Saccharomyces cerevisiae S288C: one gene and its partner. The protein of the gene in region 2 binds, or shares a complex with, the protein of the main gene of each other region. Each region holds a gene or a part of one and is shown on either strand. Other genes may lie near its edges. A codon is read from its position in the direction of its gene.

The links.
Region 1: the proteins of UBP10 (region 2) and SIR4 are in contact, whole or in part, in a crystal structure (PDB 6RR0), measured with the Saccharomyces cerevisiae proteins. Residues at the interface, in NP_014213.2 of Saccharomyces cerevisiae: Leu117 (codon at 5,357), Ser118 (codon at 5,354), Thr119 (codon at 5,351), Glu120 (codon at 5,348), Leu121 (codon at 5,345), Ser122 (codon at 5,342), Thr123 (codon at 5,339), Glu124 (codon at 5,336), Pro125 (codon at 5,333), Pro126 (codon at 5,330); in NP_010513.1 of Saccharomyces cerevisiae: Leu969 (codon at 6,855), Ser970 (codon at 6,852), Lys971 (codon at 6,849), Trp974 (codon at 6,840), Glu977 (codon at 6,831), Trp978 (codon at 6,828), Asn981 (codon at 6,819), Ile985 (codon at 6,807), Asp1032 (codon at 6,666), Lys1064 (codon at 6,570), Arg1066 (codon at 6,564), Trp1068 (codon at 6,558), Lys1072 (codon at 6,546), Arg1075 (codon at 6,537), Phe1076 (codon at 6,534), Asn1079 (codon at 6,525).

What each region holds. Positions count from the first base shown.
Region 1 is NC_001136.10:909,831-927,329, reverse strand, and holds SIR4 (chromatin-silencing protein SIR4), read right to left. Parts: upstream 9,760-17,499; coding exon 5,683-9,759; downstream 1-5,682. Other genes in the region: COX20 (Cox20p), read left to right, coding at 420-1,037; IVY1 (Ivy1p), read right to left, coding at 1,184-2,545; PCF11 (Pcf11p), read left to right, coding at 3,524-5,404; adenylate kinase ADK1, read right to left, coding at 10,176-10,844; HTA1 (histone H2A), read right to left, coding at 11,402-11,800; HTB1 (histone H2B), read left to right, coding at 12,618-13,013; CRF1 (Crf1p), read right to left, coding at 13,828-15,231; YDR222W (uncharacterized protein), read right to left, coding at 16,029-17,276. UniProt on the Saccharomyces cerevisiae protein: The proteins SIR1 through SIR4 are required for transcriptional repression of the silent mating type loci, HML and HMR. The proteins SIR2 through SIR4 repress mulitple loci by modulating chromatin structure.
Region 2 is NC_001146.8:287,607-295,202, reverse strand, and holds UBP10 (ubiquitin-specific protease UBP10), read right to left. Parts: upstream 5,706-7,596; coding exon 3,327-5,705; downstream 1-3,326. Other genes in the region: serine/threonine protein kinase NPR1, read left to right, coding at 1-2,066; YNL184C (uncharacterized protein), read left to right, coding at 2,320-2,646; mitochondrial 54S ribosomal protein uL11m MRPL19, read left to right, coding at 2,534-3,010; SWT21 (Swt21p), read right to left, coding at 6,136-7,209; KAR1 (Kar1p), read right to left, coding at 7,594-7,596. UniProt on the Saccharomyces cerevisiae protein: Deubiquitinating enzyme involved in telomere and HM loci silencing, which is the repression of chromatin structure which leads to a stop in the transcription of nearby genes.

The DNA of each region.
Region 1 (17,499 bases), on a different chromosome or scaffold from region 2:
AAAAAAAAAAGAAACGCGAGCTGAGAAGGGAAGGCGTGTAAAGGAAGAACGGTTGAGAGACAGCAGAGCAGGGTGCAACACACAACCGAATAGAGTATCAGCTGACGGAATGGAGAAGTTTGGTATGATGCAAACGTTGTATTTCTAACAACGCATGGATCAGAACAATGGGCAAGGCAAGATGAAAAATTTCCGTTCCTGCTCTTTCTTCATATATGAACAATGACCAAAAAGCGCCCGCGGCCGCAGACCAATGAGCGACGAAGGCGGCCTTTCCGAGCGGTAGGGTAAGCCGTGCAGGCAAGCTTATTATAGCACCGTCGGGGGTACCACCACTATATCAAACTCCACTGCTCGGTAAAGCATTGTAGTGAAGTCCACAGCAGTGCGTAACGAGCAGCTCAACAGTTAATATAAAGATGCGTTGGTGGCCGTGGTCAAATCAGACAGAAGATCAAAAGCAGCAGCAACAACCGCAGGGTAAAGCAGATGGTGATCGCGTGCTGACAAATTACTCGCGGGGTCAAAAGATCCTCTTAGAAGACACTCCACCCAAGTTTGCCGATGACTTGTCCAATTCTCAGTTGGCCAAGAAGCAAGAACGGGCTACTTTGAAAGAGGCTTGGGACTCGATCAGATGGAGTGATTTTAGTTTGCAGAAGCTGACTTCAATCCCGTGCTTCAGAGACGCGGGCATGCTCGGGTTTTCCAGCATGTTCTTGATGGGATCTATTATATTTATATACCATAAGAGCCCGACTAAGGCCACGAATTGGGCGATGAGCTCTCTGATACTGGGCTCGATTGTCGGATGGGAGCAATGTAGGCTAAAGAGACAAAAAAGTTTCCAGATCGCACAATTGGCAAAGGAAACCGTGGCGAAAAAGGAAAAACCAATGCTCCATAATGTCCCTCATGACCCATCTCTGCCGGGGCAATGGGAGGCCGCCAAAAATGAAAAGCAGAGTCAGTTTGAACAAAGTAACCAGAATTTATCTCAGGCCTCCTCTGAGAAGAAATGGTACAAGTTCTGGTGAAAAGAACGAGGGGGAAACAGAAGGTAGAAGCAGGGCCTTTTAACCGTTTTCCTATGTATATATGCAACATTTCTCCGAAAATACTATAACTTCAATTGTTCACTTTCTCCATTTCTATATAAAAAGCATACATAGAGTTACAAATTTTATATATTACTTGACTGGTCTTGCATGCCGTCCGTATCGCTGCTGTGATTGTCATTATCTTCTTTAATGGACAATTGTTTAAACGTTTGTGTGGTTTCCTCGGCAGAGTTTCTCGTAGGCGGTAAAGAAAATGAATTTTCTGTTCCCATCAAATTGTCTGTATCCTCATCTTCGCCATTTTTGCCGCCGCCATTGTTTCGTACCCCGTCCTTGTTTGAACTTGACTGTGAATGATTCGGTGTGGATACCGTTGAGGACCCCTTGGATTTGGGTAAAGATGTTTTTGATGTGGAAGGTTGGCTGGTTCCTTCTAGTAGTTCATTGAGCACCACGTCATTCCCACCCGTTTCCTCATCGCTGTTGTATGCTTCTCCAGCAGTCTCTCCATCACCACCGATGGTCCCGTATGGCCCATCTGCTTTTTTGCTGAAGGGGTCGTCTGCATCACAAAGTAGTTCGTCTAGCCCGCCTCCAGACCAACCTTTCCTTGCAATATTTTCAGAAATTTCCACTTGTGCCCTAGATACCGTGGCAACTTTGCTGAGTACTTTGTTGCATGTATTTTCCACAAGTTCGTATGAATCCATGTAAAAATCGTGCTTTAGTGTCTCCAGTTGATCTAACCTTGCTTGCAAGCTAGAAAGGCTCTCTCGGTATGAGATTAAATTCCTTATTTTTCTTTTCGAGATATCGAAGTTATGTCTTTCCTGCAATTTCAATTTTAAACTTTGCTCTTTGCTTTGTGCTTTGAACTTGTTCTCCATTATCTTGGTCTGTAATTCGAATTCATCAATATCATCAATTAAATTATCTCCCAACAAGTCATTGAAATACTTTGACATTATAAGCTGATGATTAGATAAAAGGTAGAATAACCCACTGGCACTCAATAGTTTCTCCGCCGTTTCATCATTGCAACCCTTCAACTTGGCAATGTTTTCTAAGGAATGGGCAATTTCTGCCCCATTCTGAGATGTCTTTAATAACGAATCCGAATAAGCATTCGAGTTCCTGAGTAATGTCGATAGGGCTTCCTGGGTCTCTTTCACATCTCTCTTTGTGATTAGCGTTTGCAAGTCGTTTATTGTGCTCGTACCAGAAGTTATGCTCGATGCCCGACGGGCCTTTGAATACACTTTGGATGAACGTAAATGGTTCATGTCGTCCAGATGGTCGTTATTTTCTGAGCCAGCACTGCTAGCCACTGGTCTTTTACTATTTACAATTGGGTAAAATTCAGATAGATGAGGCGCGTATCTGTCGGGAGAGACGTCAAAATGGTTACCGTTGTCCCAGTCAACCCTCAGTCTCTGGTCACTTGAAGGAGATCCCTGCAATTGCTCCGTATTATTGTCAGGCATATCCGATTTCTCTTCCTGTTACTTTCTTTAACAATATTTTATTCCTTGGTGAAATTTAATTGACCCTTTATTCAGAATATATACTTCTATTGTATGGATATGGTTTTTTTCCACTTAATGTTTAGCATAAATTTCCATCTCACCCTTTTCTTGTAACATATCGCCCAATATTTTTTTCTTTTGCCCGCATTGACCATTTTTTCCTGTAAAACGAGTAATGTGAGCAGTAGAATAAGTGTATATCATCCGTTAAATAAGGCGCAATCTACCGAAGTTTGAGATCTAACTCAAGTTTTTATAAATTAGATACGTTTTTCCTTACTATTCTACATGAGATGGCCATTAGCATGAGATGACTTCAATACGCACTTCTGTTGGAACGCAGATAGGATGTTTACACTCGTCTGCTCTATTCTTTGTACTTTCAATAGAGCAAAGCAAGTGGTACCAATGAAGAGAAGGCCCAGCTGTTTTATTCCAGCGGCGAAGAAGTCTAGCCTATTCCTAATGTATTAGTACAGCTATACAGAACTTTCTCAGTCTAATTTTTGATGTACTTTTATACATAGATTTACACACTTTTCAAAACGTACTTACGTAGTCGGTTCAAGGGATACACCAATTTAGCCAATGAAGCTGGGCCCCAAGTGATCAGAGTTTCGTAATTGAGCTAGGATTTGCTGCTTTTTATTCCCTTTATCACCAAATGGTATTACCTAGTGCATCTAAGTTTTAGTTTACCCGGGCGAATTTTTTTTAAGGACTCGACGCATTGGATGAGAACTTGGCCTAAGGCATGGGAAGAAAGCGAAATTTCAAAAATTAATGAGACAATGTTGTTCTACTGTTAAGGGTTTAGTAGTTTAAAAGTCTCTCTTTCAATTTTGCATTGCAAAGAATTACCAGGACAATTTTCGGAGCAGTTAAGAAAACTGTACTTGAAAACACTAGGTCTATTTGTAATACTCTCTTTTCATTATGGATCACGACACAGAAGTTATAGTCAAGGATTTCAACAGTATTCTTGAAGAATTAACTTTTAACTCGAGACCCATTATTACCACTCTCACGAAGTTAGCAGAAGAAAACATTTCGTGTGCTCAATATTTTGTTGACGCCATTGAGAGTAGAATTGAAAAATGTATGCCTAAGCAGAAGCTATACGCTTTTTATGCCTTGGACTCCATTTGTAAGAATGTTGGCAGCCCATACACAATCTACTTCAGTAGAAATTTGTTTAACTTGTACAAAAGAACATACTTATTGGTGGACAACACCACAAGAACAAAACTCATCAATATGTTTAAGCTTTGGTTGAATCCTAATGACACCGGCCTGCCTCTGTTTGAAGGCTCAGCACTGGAGAAAATTGAACAGTTTTTAATAAAGGCCAGTGCTCTCCACCAGAAAAACCTGCAAGCAATGTTACCAACTCCGACTGTTCCCCTCCTATTAAGAGACATTGATAAATTAACTTGTTTAACTAGTGAAAGGCTAAAGAATCAACCAAATGATGAAAAATTAAAAATGAAACTGTTGGTTTTATCTCAGTTGAAACAAGAACTGAAAAGAGAAAAACTAACTCTCAATGCTCTGAAACAAGTTCAAATGCAACTAAGGCAGGTCTTCTCACAGGACCAACAAGTTTTGCAGGAAAGAATGAGGTATCACGAACTTCAGCAGCAACAGCAACAACAGCAGCAACAGCAACAACAACAACAGCAGCAGCAGCAGCAGTATCACGAAACTAAGGATATGGTCGGTTCTTACACACAAAACTCTAATTCAGCGATTCCATTGTTTGGAAATAATTCAGATACAACGAACCAACAGAATTCTTTATCTTCCTCTCTTTTTGGTAATATTTCTGGCGTTGAATCTTTTCAAGAAATTGAGAAAAAAAAGTCCCTAAACAAAATCAATAACCTCTATGCATCTCTTAAGGCTGAAGGGCTCATATATACTCCACCAAAAGAATCCATCGTAACGCTTTATAAAAAGCTAAATGGACACTCAAACTACTCTCTTGATTCACACGAAAAACAATTGATGAAGAACCTGCCAAAGATACCCTTATTAAATGATATTCTTTCTGACTGCAAAGCTTATTTTGCCACGGTTAACATCGACGTTTTGAATAACCCATCCCTGCAGCTGTCCGAACAAACTCTTCTTCAAGAAAATCCCATCGTCCAAAATAATCTTATTCACTTATTATACCGATCCAAGCCAAATAAATGTAGCGTGTGTGGTAAGAGATTTGGCAACTCAGAAAGTGAAAAACTACTACAAAATGAGCATTTGGACTGGCATTTCAGAATAAATACAAGAATTAAGGGATCACAAAACACAGCAAATACAGGCATAAGCAACTCTAACTTAAATACAACTACCACAAGGAAAAATATTCAATCAAGAAACTGGTATTTGAGTGACTCTCAATGGGCAGCCTTCAAAGATGATGAAATTACCTCCACAAAGCATAAAAATGATTATACTGATCCGCATGCCAATAAAAATATCGATAAAAGTGCCCTAAATATTCACGCTGATGAAAATGACGAAGGCTCTGTAGACAACACTTTAGGAAGTGATAGAAGTAACGAGTTGGAAATACGGGGAAAATATGTTGTTGTACCAGAAACTTCACAAGATATGGCCTTCAAATGTCCAATTTGTAAGGAAACCGTTACTGGCGTTTATGATGAAGAATCTGGTGAATGGGTTTGGAAAAATACTATTGAAGTGAATGGCAAATATTTCCACTCGACATGTTATCATGAAACGTCGCAAAATTCAAGCAAATCTAATAGTGGCAAGGTCGGTTTGGATGACTTAAAGAAATTGGTCACAAAATAAGAGCAGAACTGCATATATACATTTAAATTTAATAACTATATATTATATTAAATTCTTTGTTCTTGGTATTTGATGGGTTGCTCATTTGTTTATTTTTTTTTTTTTTTTTTTTGCTTATGTGTCCATTATATTATATGTAATTTTACATATGTAGCCAAAAGCCCAACTAATCATTAAAATCGATTAAAGACCGTAAAGTAAATTGTTCATTATAGAAGAAAACGACAAAGAAAAACAGGGTACACTTCGTTACTGGTCTTTTGTAGAATGATAAAAAGTCAATACGGTTTTATCTCCTTATTCACTTGAAAATCTTTTTCCATCAATTTGTTAATTTTAGCATCTTTTTCAGATATTTGACTTCTCGCATTTTCAAGACATTTCTTTGTAAAAGTTAAATCACCTTGAAGTGAAGTTATTCTAATTTCATTCCTCATAACTTCATCTGACAAAGACCGAATAATTTCATTTGCAACAGCCAATTGTTTTTCCTTTTCATCCAGCGCCGATGCTGCTTTCGACAAAACGATATCCACAAAGGAAAGACCATCTTCTTTCATGTCCTTCGAACATTCGGTGACACTATCCTTATTATCAATTTCAAGTTCTGTTTTTTGGGTTGATGTGTACATATTTGATTGTTGAGTACCAGTTTGTGAATGTGTTCCTAAAACGTCAACACTAGTTAAAATTTCTGTTGTATTACTGTCTGTTATATCGTCGAGTTGTTTCACTCGACGATCTTCAACGATTGGAACCCTTTTTCCAACAGAAAAATAGCCGTAGGACGCAGGTCTTGAGAAAGAGAGTGAGATGTTTTCTGATGCGTGCTTCCCATTTCCAGGGATTATTTTTGCTTTGTTAGAATTAAAAATACTGTCGAATTGCTTCTTTTCTGGTAGGGTTTTCGTTTCCATTGTGCTCAGCTGCACCAAAGACTTCACATCTGGCGGAGAAGAAGGCTTCACATTTTTAACCATTAACGGTTTTTTTGTAATTTGCAGTATATCCTTAGGCATAATTTTGGCATCTGCCATATGCTCGGGCTCGACCACATGTGGTTTGACCGACGTGGATATAGAAACAGGTTCACAGGACTTCTGAATATCAAATCCCATGTTGGAAACAAATCTCTGAGTCTTCATAAATGACCAAAATCTGGCTTTTTTTGCATCAGGCTTGTTCTGTAATTCGTTGTAGTAAATCTTAATTTCAGAACTCATTGGGTAATCTTCTATTTCACCTTTCAGTATAATGATGTCACTCTCTCTAAAATTATTGGAAATTGCTGATTTAAGGTTGTTAGCAAATATATCTTTAAGTAACTGCATTTTTTCGTTAATTATTTGTCTATCACTGTCGGAAAGCTCCGAAGGGAACTCATCAACCAACGAAACGGAAATAAGTTTCAAATTTGCAAGCCATTCTTGCCTCCAAGAGCTTTTTGAAAGGTTCTCCTTCGTGTTTTTGGGTTTGCTAGAATTAGTATCACTATGCGACACTCTTCTATTGCTTTTAGTAGGCGTGGTACTTAGCTTTGTTTCTTCGAATCCTAATGGAGAAGACACGGTTGGAATTTGGGATGGTTTAGCGGAAGAAGAATTTTGTTCTTGGCTATGTTTCCCTATATTGATATTTTTATTGGTCACATCATTTTTTTCAGTGTTATTTGTGTTTTCAAATGTAGAAACTGCATATAATGGCAAATATTGTAATCTGTCCTTCTTGTGCACTTGTTGGTAAAAGAAAGCACTTGATGTTTCATAGTTTTCAACAGAGCAAATGTCGTTAGTCACACTAGTTAATGGATTGCCACTTAAATAACTATGTTTTGGGATCCCTTGTTCAATAAGGTCAGTTATTGTTTCTTTATCGTATGTCGTTTTATCAGCTATCCTCCAAAGAATGTTTTTCGTCAATTCACGATCAGATTTTCGCCAATCCAATACAGGATCAAACCATTTGCCTGCCTGAATTTGGTCCTTTTCAGCACTTGTATCTAAATCATTAGTTACTTTGATTTCATTTGATTCACCAGAGCTTAAACTTTCCAAGTCAGTTAGGCTATCATTATCTGAAGAAGAATCGTCTGAGTCGGACACGTATACCAGCTCCATTTTTCCCGGGTGAGTTATTATCGTATTCATTCTCCCACGGCAGATCTTCTTTTTTTCAATTTGCTCATCCTCTGTATGATTTGCGAAAGATTTCTTTGAAGGTTGAGATAGAGAAACTGGAAAATTATCGCTATACTCATGCTTACTTGCACTAACTGGCTGAGATAGAGACACCTTATCAGTCTTATTTTCTGGCTTTTCAGTGGAAGCGATAGTTTCCAAAAAATTGGCTTTTTCTTTTGACAGAGCATCACTAGAAAAAGGTTTGCTTTCACTTTTAATGAAAGGAGCCTTGAGTACGTTTGAAAACAAATTTAATAAAGATTTGCTTTCAACAGCCTTGGAAACCGGTTCATCCTTTGATTTAACATTCTCCCGGTCAATCTCTGAGGATATTTTTGGAGCAGATTCAACCTGAAAAAGGTCATTAGTTCCAATTTTTATATCTTTTTTTTGTGTAACTTTATGTGTGGAAGGAAGAGCAGTGTTTTGTGATTTATTTAAAGGGTTTTGAATAGTTTTCTTAGCCTCATTTGATGATTCTTTCGTATGCAAAATATCTCGCACAATTTCCTTAGGCTCTAATTTCTTTTGGATGTTTATTGTACCGTTTGAGATATTTGGAGTTCGCCCTTCATTAGGCTTATGCTTTTTCATAGGATTCGGTATTTCTCCTAGCTGGGGCCTCTTTGATGGTGTAACATTCAGGGTATTGTTTCTCGAATCAATGTGGGATTCTCCTTGTACTTTTTGAAGCACTTTTCGACCATCTATTCGTACACTCTGTATCTGCTTTGTGGTTTCTTCGGTTACTTTGTTTACGTGAGCTTCAGTGCTCATGATTTCAGGCGGCCTCTTACCAATTTTCTTGTTTTCACCATTTTTATTCTTTGCAGAAGTGTTCATATCATTTTTCTTTTCTGTGCTTCGAGAAGTAGAGTTATAGTTGTTTTCTTGGCCTTCATATTCAACAAGAAAAGCAAGTTTTGTAGTTTCTTCATCTCTAGTGGAAAAATTTCGGCTGTTTCTACGCCCTTGAGGTCTGTCAGCTGGACTTTTCGACAAATGAGGTGACTTTAAGATTTCCATCCTCTTGAGGTCGGCGTCTTCCTTCATTTTTTGTTCAGATGTTATAGGCTGATGCTTCGAAGGTGCAAGTGTTTTCTCATCGTGCAGTGTTATTTTATCTTGATCAATGGCGACTTTTTTTGGAGATGGAACGATCTTCTTTGATGTTAGAGTTTCTGTCGTGGCTGACGTCCCATTGGTATCTAAGGCCGATGCGACCGTACTATTTGCACTATTCTCATCTAATTTTACTGGTTTTTCTTGATTTATTTCTAAACGCTCGTTAGTAGATTCCTCATTTATTCCATACACTTCTGTTTGTATGGCATTCGGTTTTGCAATTCCAGGACTTCTTGCCTTGCTCTCCTCCGGTGATATACCACTGTCACCGGCACTAACCTTCGGAACTGATAGTGAATCAGAATGGGCAAAGTTTTTACCTATATTCAACTTTTCTTCTTTTTTTTCTTCTACGGTATCTTTCCTGATAGATTTGTCCTTGGTCAAAGAAATCACAGAGGCGCCGATGTCTGCTGATCCTTTTTTAAGTGGCTTCTCTAAAACAGGCTGTTCGTTTGCCAAGTTTATGCCTAGAATCTCTTTAGAGTAATCCCTTATTTTCTCTTCACTTAGTAAGCTTTTTACTCCTGATAAAAATGAGTTATTGGTTTGTGATGTTGATATCGGTACTATGGTACGTACAGGCTTTGAATTGAAGGTAGAAGTTTGTTGCTGCGCATGCCGGGAAAATGCTGTTTGTTCAAAACTTGCTAGAGACCTGCTAGCATCATGTGAAGGATTGTTTGATTCAATTCTTCCTGCTGACGTTTTGGACCGAAGAAGGGAGAGTAGTTTGCTGTTGCTTATTTTTTCCAGATTTGAGTGAGGAAAAGAATTATAGTTATTTTTTTTCAGTGGTGAGGATTTTGGCTGTTGCAACTGTTTATGGGAAGTCGGTTTTACATCACTTGGTTGATGAGGTGAGGTATGAATTGCGGTTGACGGCCTTGAATAGTTTTTGCTTTTGGCAAACGTGAATAATGGAATTTTAGGTGTCTTCACTTCATTGGATTTTTCTTCTCTTTCAGGAATTTTATCATTCGGGGTTACTGGTTTTTTAGTAAACTTGGGAGTGCTGGACCTATTGGGTGTCTTATTGTCATTTGGCATTGGCTGTTTTCTTCGCTTTTTTGGTATTGTGGGTTGAAGCTTCCTTTTTTTTTTTATCCCCTGCAAAACGATGTCCAGTTAGAACTCTGACTGAATTATAAAACCTGAAAAGCGCTTATTTCGTTATAGGTTTATAAAAAGCTTCACTATTACTGTTATACCGTTTTTGTTTATGTGATGCGCTTTTGTTCATCTATTTAGTAATATGATTTGCGTTCGTTCTCAACGATAAAAATATTGACTAAGTACTTAATGGCAGTGCACATGTTTAAGGACGTTATAGCCAGTTACAAACACTTATGTTATTATTTCATTTATAGTATACTGCGGATATATGTACTCACATACAAAAATTTATTATATTTTCATTAATTTAAAAAAAAGAAAAGATATTTAGAAGACATTGCGCAAGGTCATTAATCCTTACCTAGCTTGTTCAAGATGTCAGCCCAAACAGTAGCAGGAGGTTGGGAAGCATCAACACCAGCCCAGATACCGGTCTTTTTGTAAAAGTCAACAATTGGTTCGGTTTGAGCATGGTAAGCAGCTAATCTCTTCTTCAAGGCGTCTGCATTGTCATCAGATCTTTGAACTAAAGCTTCACCGGTGACGTCATCCTTCATGTCTTCCTTTGGTGGGTTAAAGATCTTGTGGTAGGATCTGCCAGAGGCTGGGTGAATTAATCTACCGGTAATTCTGGCAACCAACAATTCATCATCAACCTTCAATTCGATGGCTTTTTCCAAAGGAGTTCCTTGTTCTTTCAACATTTGGTCCAATTTTTCAGCCTGAGGAATGGTTCTTGGGAAACCGTCCAAGATGAACCCATTCTTACAAGCTGGATTGTTGGTCAATTCATCCTTGATCATGTTAACCATAATGTCATCAGAGACTAAACCACCTTGGTCCATAATTTTCTTTGCTTCCAAACCTAATTGAGTGCCCTTTGCGATTTGAGATCTCAACATGTCACCAGTGGCCAAGTGAGCGGCATGGAAACGCTCTTGCAAATTTGGAGCTTGAGTACCTTTACCGGCACCAGGTGGGCCAATTAGGACCATTCTAATGGATTCTGAGCTAGACATTACTGTTATATTTGATGCTGTGTGGTGACTTTACCAGAGAAACGTTAATGTTTCTTTATTAAAGCTCTCGTTTCTGATAAACCAGGTAATCCATTTCAGAAATTTATGCGTATATATATATACAAATATGCGTAATAAAACTAGCCAGAGTGAAAAAGTCGAAAATCAAAAAAAAATGGGCGAATAAGGACAGAAGCCGCGGGCTGCTGCGGACAGTTCTCCGTGACAGGATCGCGCAATCGTGAGCTTTTTTCCTTTGGTTGTGAAAATTTCGTCACACTATCAAAGTGAACAAAGCACAGAATGTGTTTGCTACTCAATCATGTTCAAGTAAGCAACAGTGCCCAATGAACCTAAACAGAGCAACAGAGAAAACAGGAAGACACAACAAAAAATTTATATCATGCATGACATATGTTACCGTTAATTATATACCCAATAAATTATATATAGAAAAATAAAAAGGAAAAACAGAAAGGTCTAATAGACACTTAATATAGTTACAATGGAGAAGCAGTTTAGTTCCTTCCGCCTTCTTTAAAATACCAGAACCGATCTTATAATTCTTGAGAAGCCTTGGTAGCCTTGGCAGACTTCTTTGGCAACAAGTTTTGATGGATGTTTGGCAAAACACCACCTTGGGCAATGGTAACGTTACCCAATAGCTTGTTCAATTCGTCATCATTTCTGATAGCCAATTGCAAATGTCTTGGAATAATTCTGGTCTTCTTGTTATCCCTAGCAGCATTACCAGCTAATTCTAAAATTTCAGCGGCCAAATATTCCAAGACAGCAGTCAAGTAGACTGGAGCACCAGAACCAATTCTTTGGGCGTAGTTACCTCTTCTTAGCAATCTGTGCACTCTACCGACTGGGAATGTCAAACCAGCCTTAGCAGATCTAGATTGAGAAGCTTTAGCAGCTGAACCAGCTTTACCACCTTTACCACCGGACATTTTATATTTTATATGTATGAAATTTGTTTGTTTTGAAGTTGTTTATTCACTGAGAAATAACCAAATCCGTATGATGATGTAGTATCAAGAAGAGAAGTACAGATTGGAAGTAAATAGATGATGGTTCAACAAGACCAGAAAATCTACAAGCTGATTAGGAGTCTTATTTATATATTTTTTAGGTCAAGACTTATTGCTAGTATTTACGATCCACTGGCTGGCTTCGTGAACGGGGAAGGGGGTGAGAAAAGATTTTGAAATCAACAAAGTGGGCAATAACAAATAACAGCATGAGAAACCACATATCTCTACGGGCGTTTCTTCAACAACGACGAGTTAACTATTGTGCTCTTTTTTTGAGCCACCAAATACACTCCATTCCAATAGCTTCGCACAGTGAGGCGAAAATTTTGGAACAGCGCTAATGAATTATTTGTGAGCTCGGCGAGTTCAAATTTGAAGAAAACGCGGTTGGGTCGTTAACTATGGTTAGACGCTCAATGTCGCCCGAAAGGGAAGGCTGTTCTCACTTTTTCGCGCGTTGCACCCTTTCTTCCGCGAAAAAATGAGAACGATGGATTTAAAATCAAGAGAATTGGCCTTAGTAGTGGCAAATACTACCTTGGTTGGTTATCTTGTAACGATTGGTAAGAAAGGGGCATCTCTGTTTTCTTGATGTATATAAACAACATGATTTGATCATCTCAGATGGTCAGATTTATTAAAGACGTTTCTCTTTCCGCATTTTCGATTATTGTTATATTAAATTTATCCTATATAGACAAGTCAAACCACAAATAAACCATACACACATACAATGTCTGCTAAAGCCGAAAAGAAACCAGCCTCCAAAGCCCCAGCTGAAAAGAAACCAGCCGCTAAAAAGACTTCCACTTCCACTGATGGTAAGAAGAGAAGCAAGGCTAGAAAGGAAACATACTCTTCTTACATTTACAAAGTTTTGAAGCAAACTCACCCTGACACTGGTATTTCCCAAAAGTCCATGTCTATCTTGAACTCTTTCGTTAACGATATCTTTGAAAGAATCGCTACTGAAGCTTCTAAATTGGCTGCGTATAACAAGAAGTCTACTATCTCTGCTAGAGAAATTCAAACCGCTGTTAGATTGATCTTACCAGGTGAATTGGCTAAGCATGCTGTCTCTGAAGGTACTAGAGCTGTTACCAAGTACTCTTCCTCTACTCAAGCATAATGAAATCACTTCCTTTGGTTATAATTAATATTATTATTTATATGGGTATATAAAAATTAAAGTAAAGTAAAAAAAATTGTATAATAGTTTAATAATTTTAATGATTATAAGATATTTACTCGGTTGTAAAATTGTGTTCTCGAAATTACAAATGGTCTCATAGAGGGAATGCGCTTATGCGGCAAGGCAGTTTACTTGTAAGACTAATTATAAGAAGAATAAATAGTGTTGCTTATTAATGACTCAGAAAAGTTTCCACATGATATTTATTAGCTTTCGAAACTTCAGAGCATTGGCTCGTGTGAACAATACTAGATTTTTCCTCAAATTTTAATTCGTATTGCAGTTGCTAACTATTACAATTTTTGTTTATTTTATGCCTTGGAGATTGAACCCTCTGTTGTGATTAACTTCCTGTAAAAACTCCACGCAAGAAACAAAATATAAAAATAAAAAAAAAATTGGTAAAAAAATGAACAATAGAATACGCACGTATAAAAAAATACTAAAAATAAAATAAATGCCACCGACTCTATAAGTACACAGCAATAGTAATTAAAAAAAGACAGATGTCGCTGACTGGATCGTCAGCTGCACTTCAGTATTCCTTGATCCTCTCTCAAGTGGATCCATCCATTTCGGCCCCTAAATTTTTCTCCATCTCATCATACGATATTCCAAGTTGATCTTCGCTGACTAAGTAGGTTTTCCTACTATTCTATGACAATTCAAGTAGTAAAGTGCTTCTATTTTTTCGCAAACGATCATATTTTCCTTTAAAAGACGATAATGATTCTTCTGGAATATCAAATAATCACTCGCCTATGAGCTCAATATGGCCATTGGATGCCTTCTCTACTTCGAGTCCGCCTATGTTTAGAAGGTCGGCTATCATAGCATCATTATCAAATGTTGCATCTCCTTTTTGATTTTCCCGTGAACTTACTGAGCTTGAGCATGAGCTCAAACTTTCAGGAGTATTTATGTCATCACTCAATGGGTACAGCGATTTTGTGCACAACCCATCGATAACACTAAACGGTTTATCACTTAAAGACCAAACGTATAACTTTGGTACTTTTATTCCAATTCTTTTAGAATCCAATATTTCGCAAGCTTTATGGCCAATTTTCTTCCTTTTTCGATCTGGGGTTGGTAAGCTCTCGTCTTCATCTGTTGATTCATCATCTCTATAAGTGACCTCATCAATGTTGTAATCACTATCATAACTATCATTCCTTGGGCCTTCCGAAGAACATGTGAGGTTGGATAAGTCTTCTCTTGAACTATTATAGAGGCAATCAATATCCTTTTTCCTTGTATTAATAGCGACGTTGTCTAGACTAAAGGTGCGATCAGGTCCATCGAGCTCTACTTCGTCGATTTTATGCACATGCTCGTTGAGATGAAAAAAGCTAGACACATCTAATGTAGAAAAATGATTGCATTCACTGAAATGACCATCATCCAAGTTAAGGGGCGTACGGTCCTCAAAACAACTGCTACTATATTTTTTTTCGAGTGGTCTTGGATTTTTCACTCCCTTATCCGTACCATCCATTGGTGTCAATATCACGGCCTCATCAAAGTCGACATCTGATTCCGTTTCTGGATATTGGTGTGTAATACCTCTATTATTATTTATCGATACTGTTTCGCAACTATCGATGTGGTTGTCTACTAAAATATCAACACCAATGTCCTCTTCATCTTCATTAGTTGTTGAAGCCGAAGGACTGTGGTATTGTCGGTGAGATTCACTTTTACTTGTTGGCAAACCGAGCAGTACTACAGCCGAATTCGCCCCGAAGTTTACATCGCGCTTATTACTGACATATGTAGTATTGCCAGCTGACGTGAGCTGGTCATTAAATATATTATCTGCTTCTGTCTTAGAGCTGCTGCCAAGAGACGTCTTTTCCTCTACCTCGTTGGTGTTTTCCTCCCTAGAATATTTATAAGAATTTTTTTTTTTCTGTCTATTACTACTTTCTGGTTTTAATCGTTTAGCACTAATATAGCTACTCTCAAAATCCGAGGCCTTACTTATAGAGGGGTCCCAAAGAGCATCAAAGCTGCCATCATTATTGGATGAAAGGACGACAGTTGAAGAGGACGACGAAAAGGAAGCAGCTGTACCTGTCTCTTTTGGCTTTTTTTTATTTGGACTGTGTGGCTTGCGCCGCACGGTACTGTTAACAGGCGCACTAAGCAACATTTTAAAAGACTTTTTTATTCCGTACTATACCGCTGCTGTTCAGTTAAATGGTAACCTTCTTATAACTTTCTAGTGACCGCAATAATTATATTCCTTCTTTTAAGAAATTTCTCGATACAATTATAGAGGGCTTTTGACTCATTAATCTTACTGGAACCATTGACAGATTAGTCCGAAGAAGAAAACTCTAAAAAATCCGCTAGTAAGATTCAACAAAAAAAAAGTCTGCTTGCTATGAAAGTCTGATTTCTAGAGTACACACCTCTATAGCTACACTCTCAACTGATTGCTTCACTTTTTGAAAGAGGAAGAAGGACAAGAACTGGATTCACAAACTCAACTACATCTCGGTTTATCCGTTTAGACCAAGGTTTTATATAAGGCGAGGTAGAGTTCGGAAAAGGAAACTTTCATCGACTTCCCTTAATGATTATTGATTCCCCTTTGCTTTCTCTCCCCAACATTTGAAATATGATTTCTTTTTATTTCGAAAATGCCATTCTTCTCGTTCCCGTGATGTTTTCAATATGCATGCGGCAAGGGGAACATGATATTTCCGTTCTATGGCTTACGCAAGTAAGAAGCATGGCGCAATGATGCAATAGTCCATGGGGGAAAGTGTGGCCTCAAAATGAAAAAAAAAAGTGATGATAAATTAGTTATTAGGTAGTGATTATGTAAAAAAATTCGATTACACATTAATTATTAGGTAAAGTTGGTAGAAGAAACAGGAGAGAAAAAGAAGAGAAAAAAAAGGACAAAAAACGAATTTCATGTGGAAGTGTTCACGCTTTTGTTCAACTAATGAAGGTGCTCTCAACGATAGAAATACCTTTCTCGTGCTTATATTTAGAAGGTTGACAGTATTGATAAATGAAAGGTTTGATGCTCACAATTTTCTGAGCTAACGACCTGACCATGCTTGGTAACTCACCGAGAACGTCGTATCGATTAACCAGCCTCAAGTCGTGTTCTGAAAATCCACCGGGGAACTTGATAGAGGTTGGATATACCCAGCCGCTTTCCTTATCTGTACTCGTAGCACGGAACCTAACATGACGTTTTGGGCTCTGCACAGAAGAACCAATAGATATCAGTTTGTTTTTTTCAGTAATTGACCAAACTGTTACGGTGACGTTATCATGATCTCGAGGAGTAGTGAATTCAATTGCTAAAACAGAGTAGTTTTCGCTCTGAAAACATAGGAAATTCCATTTACTGGCTGCTTTATTCGGCAAAAGACCTTGAACAGCGTCCAGATAAACGACAGGAACATCAGTTAATGAAATATTTTTATTTTGAAAGTCCCCACTATTGAGTTTTTTATCGTAGGAAATATTACCATTACATTTACCTCTGGGCACAAAAACATGTCTGATCATTTTGTCTGAGGAAACGAATTCGTCACTCATCGAGATTTGTTTGTCAAAATAATAATTGCAACCGTTGGGGTTCATCTTAAAACCTTGAAACAAATCCACCAACAAATCGATTTTCAAATTTTGAATTGTATTGTTACATGTTGGTAAATCACATTTGATAGATAACTGGCCAATGGAACCTAATTTTTCATTTTTGTTGCTCAAAAATTCAAAAATAACATTTCTAGAGACAAACTTTAATGGTTGAAATTCAGCTATGTCATCCAATTTAAAACTTTCCCAAACGTCGTAGTCAGTATTATTACTTTCTGAGCCAAAAACCTTGAAATTCAATTGGAAGCCTTTATAGATACCACCCATAACCGTAGAATACAGTAATTGAACAAATCCACACAAGCCTGTATGCAAATCTGTGAAATATAACGTTTGGGTCTCGACTCTGGTCTCCATCGATTTTTTCATCACTCTGAATAAACCTCTACCACCATCTGTCTTGTTACTTATGGTGTGTTGGTAGCCCGTTTCACTATCATTGTGACAATACCACTCCAATGGTTGGATGTCATTAATAAGAGTATAGTTCTTACTCTTACTTACCGGTTTTTTGTAATCTACCTCTTTAATAGGCGCAAACTTTATCTTATCACTGCTCGATTCAAGCATCACTAAATGAGTCTCTATGTATGTACGATGTATCTTATACGCCCTCACTGTCAAGAAAAGACAATACGAAGTACGGCGGCAATTGTCACTCAAGAAATTTCTTCATTTTTATATGACTATACATCGTAAACTCAAGCCCAGAGAAGTGAGTCTCCAGTAAACACTGTTCGTTATATCCATCACATTTAAAATCCGTAGGCTTAAGATTGCCAAAACATATGCA
Region 2 (7,596 bases):
ATGCAAACTTTGCTCACACTGCATCATTCTACGGCACAAGTGCACAAAGTAGAGATAGATTTGGATCCTTAATAAACGATCAAGGTACTGCAGGACTTTCCTCACATGGTGGTTCTTTTGCTGCACAGAACAGAATCACAAGTAGATTATCTACCACGTCACATACTTCAGGAAGGGCCATTCCTTCTTTATCATCAAGTATACCTTACTCCGTGCCAAATTCTAACAAAGATAACAATAGCTCGAATAGCAACAGCTCCTCTTTGTCTTCTTCGTGGCTCGAAACATATGCAGGCGGTATGCCCAATAATATTTCTGCAATCGATTCAAATGTTATATCCTCCCCAAAAGTAGATAGCGTGGAACCACGTTTTGTTATCTCCAAACAAAAACTCCAAAAAGCATCGATGGATAGTAATAATGCAAATGCCACTCAATCAAGATCTATATCCCGTTCAGGTTCATTCTCTTCACAGCTTGGGAATTTTTTCTTTTCCAAAAACTCAAAAGAATCTTCAAATTCTAACTCTGCAGGCATGTCTTTTTCTGCCAATTCCAATGGTCCTTCTCCAAACATTAAGAATCCCAATGTTACCAATGGTTCGACGCCTATCCCGAAGCCTATCCGCGCAAGACAAAGCAGCATATATTCTGCATCAAGACAGCCAACTGGTTCCTATACTGATAACTTTTACGGTTCCCCCTCATCTGTACATGACCACTTACCTCCAAGTCAAAGTGTTCCAAGGTCACAACATTCTTCCATCGGTGATTTAAAGAGGTTCTTCAAAAAAAGTTCTAACAGTAACCTTTCCTCGAATAGTAACAACGTGATCCCGAACGGATCACCTCTTTCTAGCGGAATTGCCGTTCCGTCACACTCTCATTCATCGTCTCATTTTGCCGCAGGGAATAACTCATATTCCACTAGTTATAACGGAAATGGAGATACTATTTATTCTCATAGTCACGGCGGTTCAGGAATTCCGTTCTCAAAAAGGTACATCAAAACCGGTGCCGATTTAGGCGCTGGAGCAGGAGGTTCTGTCAAATTAGCTCAAAGAATTTCAGATAACAAAATATTTGCAGTGAAGGAGTTTAGAACTAAATTTGAAAATGAATCCAAAAGAGATTATGTCAAGAAAATTACATCAGAATACTGTATTGGTACAACTTTGAATCATCCCAATATCATTGAAACAATTGAAATCGTGTATGAAAATGATAGAATTCTCCAAGTTATGGAATATTGTGAATACGATTTATTTGCTATTGTAATGAGTAATAAAATGTCCTATGAAGAGATTTGTTGTTGCTTCAAACAAATACTTACTGGTGTACAATATTTGCATAGTATCGGCTTAGCTCATAGAGATCTAAAGCTAGATAATTGTGTTATAAACGAAAAAGGTATTGTAAAATTAATCGATTTTGGTGCTGCTGTGGTATTTTCATATCCATTCTCAAAAAATCTTGTGGAAGCAAGTGGAATTGTTGGAAGTGATCCATATTTAGCACCTGAAGTCTGTATATTTGCGAAGTATGACCCACGTCCCGTAGATATTTGGTCTTCTGCAATCATTTTTGCATGTATGATACTGAAGAAATTTCCATGGAAAATTCCGAAATTAAGGGACAATTCATTCAAACTATTTTGTTCCGGACGTGATTGCGACTCCTTAAGTAGCTTGGTTACAAGAACTCCTGATCCACCTTCCTACGATGAATCGCACTCAACAGAAAAGAAAAAACCCGAAAGCTCTTCCAATAATGTATCAGATCCTAATAATGTTAATATCGGGCCACAAAGATTGTTGCACTCATTACCAGAAGAGACTCAGCATATTGTTGGACGTATGATTGATTTGGCGCCCGCATGCAGAGGAAATATCGAAGAAATCATGGAAGATCCTTGGATCCGTAGCATTGATATGTGCCACTTGGTTGAAGATGGATTATCGTTCAAAGTGGTTAGAGGAGAAGACCATCATCACACACAAGTGGATCAAAGTGAAGCACATATTGCAGGCCTAGAAAAGAAAAAGAAAAAGCAAAATAATCAATAAATAAGCGTCCCCACTTTTATTTCTTTTCCAAGCATTTGTATATAACCTTTTTTTATCCTATTTGAGTATATGTTAAAATACAATGTCATATTTACTTCTGTTAAACTAATTTCATATTTTACCGTTCTATAGAAGCCTAAATAGATTGACCTCCTGTTCATAATCTACTATTTTATCAGAAAAATGTAAAAGCTTAGTATGATAATAATTAATGGAAAAGTTCGTTAAAATATCGCGCCACTAATTAATAATAATGAAGCGGGTAACATTAATTGTCTTACCAAGGCGACAATTCCCTTTTCTAAAATTTCACAGCAAAGAAGCTTTAGAAAGTGCAGTAAATCTACAACTCATAAGAAGGAAAAAAAGCGTGAACATTCAAATCGACAGCGTAACCTTCTGTATTTATTTCTGTTTGTTGTACTTTCGAACTCTCGAATACCATAGAGGAACTATTAGTCTCCATAATGTCACAGGCAGCAAAAAACGTGATAGTAAAGCTAATAGTAGGAGCAGGCCAAGCGGCACCATCACCTCCCGTGGGGCCCGCATTGGGCTCCAAGGGTATAAAAGCCATTGACTTTTGTAAGGAATTTAATGCAAGATCAGCAAACTATCAGCCAGGTGTACCGGTTCCAGTATTAATCACAATAAAACCTGATAGAACATTTACGTTTGAAATGAAATCTCCACCAACCGGATATTTGCTGCTAAAAGCTCTTAAAATGGACAAGGGACATGGACAACCGAATGTGGGGACAATGTTAGGCAGTGCACCTGCCAAGGGACCAACCCGTGCTTTAGGAGAGTTATCGCTGAAGCACGTTTACGAAATAGCCAAGATAAAAAAGAGTGATGAAAGGCATAGTTTATTGGAGATGGAAGGTATTGTTAAATCAATAGTTGGCGTTGCAAAAAGTATGGGTATTAAGGTTGTACCTTGATCTGTAAGTAGTGAAAAGACAAAAAAGTACCGTCAATTTCGAGAAATTTTCAACAGACCTTCCTTCTTCTTTCTACTGATCTATTCTGTAAATATGTATATAAGTTTTAAATTCTCTTTCTCCCGTTATGTTAGCAAAGCTCGGTAGTACTGAAGCTATTCTGAGTAAACGCTTCTCCAACTCTGTATACTGAGAGTTGTTTTATAAGTCAATAAAGACCGGATATTTATATGTATATATTGATTTGGTATAATAAAAATGAAATGCTAATAAAAATGCCTATGAAAAGAGGAAAATCCAGGAATATCGAGTTTTTTCATTTGGTGAACTTCCTTTTTTTATTTTTTTTCCATTTTTTTCTGTTATTTTTCTTGCTATTAATCTTCAATGGGCGGTTATTTGGTTCGTTAACAGCCTGTTCCTGTTTGGATTTAGAGGTAACATTACCAGTGGCCATGGCAGATTTCGCCAATGGCAATGGAACCGATTTTGGAGTTAGCCTCGTGTATAGGAGATAATATGCGTTGGGTTCCTTTAAAACGTCCCTTTCAGATATTATATTAATATACTCGTCGTCGTAAGTGGCCCAGCTACCGTCTGGTTGCTTGCAGTGGGCAATGTAGTGACCTGAAGAAAGGGAGCGGCCCTCATGAACCACCACGCTTAATAGTTGGTATTTGACAGGTAGCTCTTTACTCTCACAATATTCCGTCAAATCTAAAAACATAGGATAAGAAACAGCTTGCTTCATTTTTGATGAGGACGTGCCATTGAATCTGAATTTTTTCAGATGCACAAGTAAAGTTTCAGGAGCCCTTAATATTGAACTATGCTTCACGGCGTTCGTGGTCTTGTGACACTTCTCACAAACGTAACCCTTTTGCTCCTTGTCAACCTTGATTAATTCGGGATTGAAGAAATCTTTAATTGATTTTTCAATAGAAAATCTGCGGTTGGCTGAACTTAAATCACTGGCAGCGGCAAATGGTGAGCCATTGTTTAAATTGACAGATGAAGAGGATGAAAGAGATGGTTTTGTGGCAGCATTGGAGGTAGTGGTAGAAGTGGTGGCTGAAGTGCCGTTAATGCTATCACTCGACAGGTCAGAATTTGGATCAAGTTTTTTCTTCCCTTTCAAGTGCAACGATAAATCGTAAAATGGTTGTTCTGTTTTAGATATACTGCCACAAGATTTGCAAGTAACGATCTGCTTTAAAAGACCACCGAATATGTCATATATTATCGATTCTATAAGTTTATGACCCTTGGGAACAGAATCTTCCTGTAATCTTGACATCAGAGACATGAAGTACTCATGTGAATCTTCCTGCTGCCATTCGCTCATCATACAATTAATGTCATCCAATCTGGAAATCAAATGTTTTGGATTAATGTAGGAAGCTGAAACGTTCTTTCTAGGGTTTTTTGAGACCGGTAACCACATTTTTTTACTTGTTTCAGCTAAAGTATAGGAAACGGAATTTTTTGAGATGGTGCTATCGTATTTCCCCATTAGTATATCAAAAAGATAATGTTGTATCGAAGGAATGTGTAACATAGCCTGTACAGCAGCATTTGTGTAACAAGTAACACCATGATTCAAAAGGCCACGAGGCTTCAAATTGGTGAATTTGTCGCCCCAATTTTTAACAATTCTAGTAGAGTTTAAAGAACCACGATCATTGATATTTTCATTGAATTGGTAAAAGTTTGATAGATTTGATATTGTAACCGGAGGGGTGATTGACCTAGATTTATGTTTCAGCTCTTCTTCCTCTTCTTCCTCCTCCTCTCCCTTTGGATTCCTGTTTCCATTTTCTTTGGTGTTGTTTACTGGTTCGTACCGATTTACTTCCACTGTACTATTTTCCATTAAATCTTGATATAAACTCTTTTTTTCGCCTTCAGAAATTTTGGAGCTGGAATCGTTCTCCTCTTCTTCAGGGAGCTCTTTTTCCATAGCACTAGAATCATAATCCATGTCATCCTCATCCTCGTCGTCTTCTATTTCGTCATCACTGCTAATGCTTGTAGACAGTTCCTTTCTTTTTTCCTTTTCATTCTCATTAGATGAATCATCAATGGTTGCTAATGGAGAACCCAAGTTTTCACCAATGTCTTCACCAATGTCTTCACCGATGTCTTCACCGATGTCTTCACCGATGTCTTCGCCGATGTCTTCACCATCGCCCTTATCTGCGTTGTCGCGTTCCTTCAAACTAGCTTTTCGGGGTTCTACATAGTCTCTTGCCTCATGAAATATTTCACCCTCTTCCTCTTCCTCTTTTCCTACTTTGTCATCTTCCGAAGAAGAGGAAGGAGGCTCCGTAGAAAGCTCCGTAGAAAGCTCCGCTGACTTCTTGGCACCAGTAGCATCTGCAGCATCTTTATCATTTTTAGAAGTATACAACAATAAAGCTTCAGCCATAGATTTAGGAACAGTGTTGGTTTTCTTTCCGTTTGGCCTGTCTATCAAGTTATTTTCTTTTATTTGCTTGGATTCGGCCGTTGCAGCAATAGCTGTGCTATTACTATTGTTATTATGCTGTTTTCCTATCACAATATACGAGCTATTTTCCGGCGCGGCGGAAGTATCATTATTATTCGATTTGTTAGAGATCATTGCAGCATTGAACTGCAGGGGATTTGATAGGATTCTATCTACCAAAGGTTTGATCGATTCTTGAGTGGTCATAGTCTGTGATTGTGATATGACAATAGGACGGATTTACAGATACTATGAGTTGTAGATTCTTTCCGTTAGTTTTTCTATGAAATATTATGTGCAGTACAGAACAAAAGAGGCTTCAGACACTATGCATGCTCCTGTGTGCAGTATATGATGCTTAATAGCTTCTATGAAACAAATAAAGGACAGAAGCGGGGATGGAAGACTCTGTTAATGCTTTACAGGGAAGTTTTTCCCGATGGTGGCACTATATAAAAATAAGAACTTTTTTCTTTTCTTTTGGGGATTTTTTTCGATGCGAAAAAAATTTTTTGACGGCATGAGGCAAGAAGTGAACAAAAGAGGTGGTGTCTGGGGGATGCAATTTAACTTCTTACTTGTGCGCGTTCATCGGAGAAAGCTGGCCGGGTGATACACGAATACGGGTTTGCCGTTTTTAGCCGCCGAACCTGCATAATGAAATTGTGCCCCCATGAGATAGGGCGAACAGTTCGGGATCCCCAGGACAATTCTTCACTACCGTGGCAGGAATAGTAGAATCAAGGTTAGTGCGCCACTCTGACTCTGGCGGGATAGACGTGATTAGTGGGTCTTCAACACTATTGTGTGAGGGAACACCTCCAAATTCCACAAGGTCTCGACCCCAGTTCAATATTGTTCCCTGCGGCGTCCCCATACTTAGTCCGTAAGCCGTATCTATATATGCCTTCAACTTTGCAGAGTTGTGGTGGATCCGAAACGGTAGGCGCAATACGTTAAGCTCGTGCTGCAGGTTTCGCCGATCGTAAATACTAATCGCGTCACTGTTGCGTCTGACAACGTACACGTAACGCCCGTTATCGCTTGTAAGGATTTGTACAATCCCACCTGCAACTGTGCGGGTGTAGTTCAGTCTCTCTAGTCGTTGATGACGGCAGTCTACCTGAAACATTTCATTCGCATAACTGCCACACAATAGAGATCCTCTTGAGAGAGCTTGCCCTCCCATTGGTTGCTCTTCAAAGCAAGATATAATGCTTTGTCTTCCCTTGCTTGCTTTTTTGGTACTCTGGTTCATCCACACGGCATCTCGTCTGCTCTTGTCGTATATCGCCACTTTGTTACGGCATGAGCCAGTGTATACACGAGACTCAACATCGATTTTCACACTGTATACAGTTTCGTATTCTCCATTTATTTTGTTCATCGTGTCATAGCTGAGGATACACTGCCCGTCCATCAAAGAGTATAGTTGTAGAGGGAAGTTTTTTCCTCCAACCACGATTCTGTCACCAGCTAACCTGTCGGAATTCTCGTTATAAAGCGTGTAAAACGGGTCTATTGCACATGAAACAATAGACTGGTTTCTAAAAAACCTTGTAAATGGTAGAAGGAGGTTTCTGTTTAGCTTGTCCGTATTACTTTCCTCCGGCACTAAATATTGTCTGATGCCAAAATCATTATGCACAGAAACAAACGATGTACCATCACATGACCAAAAGATATCTTGACATATTACCTTCTTTTCCATTCTGAAGTCGTCTGTCATATTGATATATGGTGATTCTCCTAGTCGTGGATACTCGTATCCACTTCGATCACTTTGAGTCCTTTTTAACCATTCCTTATCTTCTCTTTTCCATACATTCGCTATCGTGTCAGCCTCGAACACTTCGCCAGTGTCGCAATACGGAATTGCATTCATTCTTTCATCATTTTTTCTATTCAAGGACTCATAATGCCCTTGTACCATCTATGTTTATGGAATATGCGGTCTGTCCACCACCGATTTTTAAGTGCACGCTTTTCTTTTTTTGCTTAATTTTCAGACCGTGATAATACTCTCTTTAAAACGGAAGAGAACAGTTATTGCCATAACTGTACACACTTCTTCATGTACTAACCTTTATATGGTTTA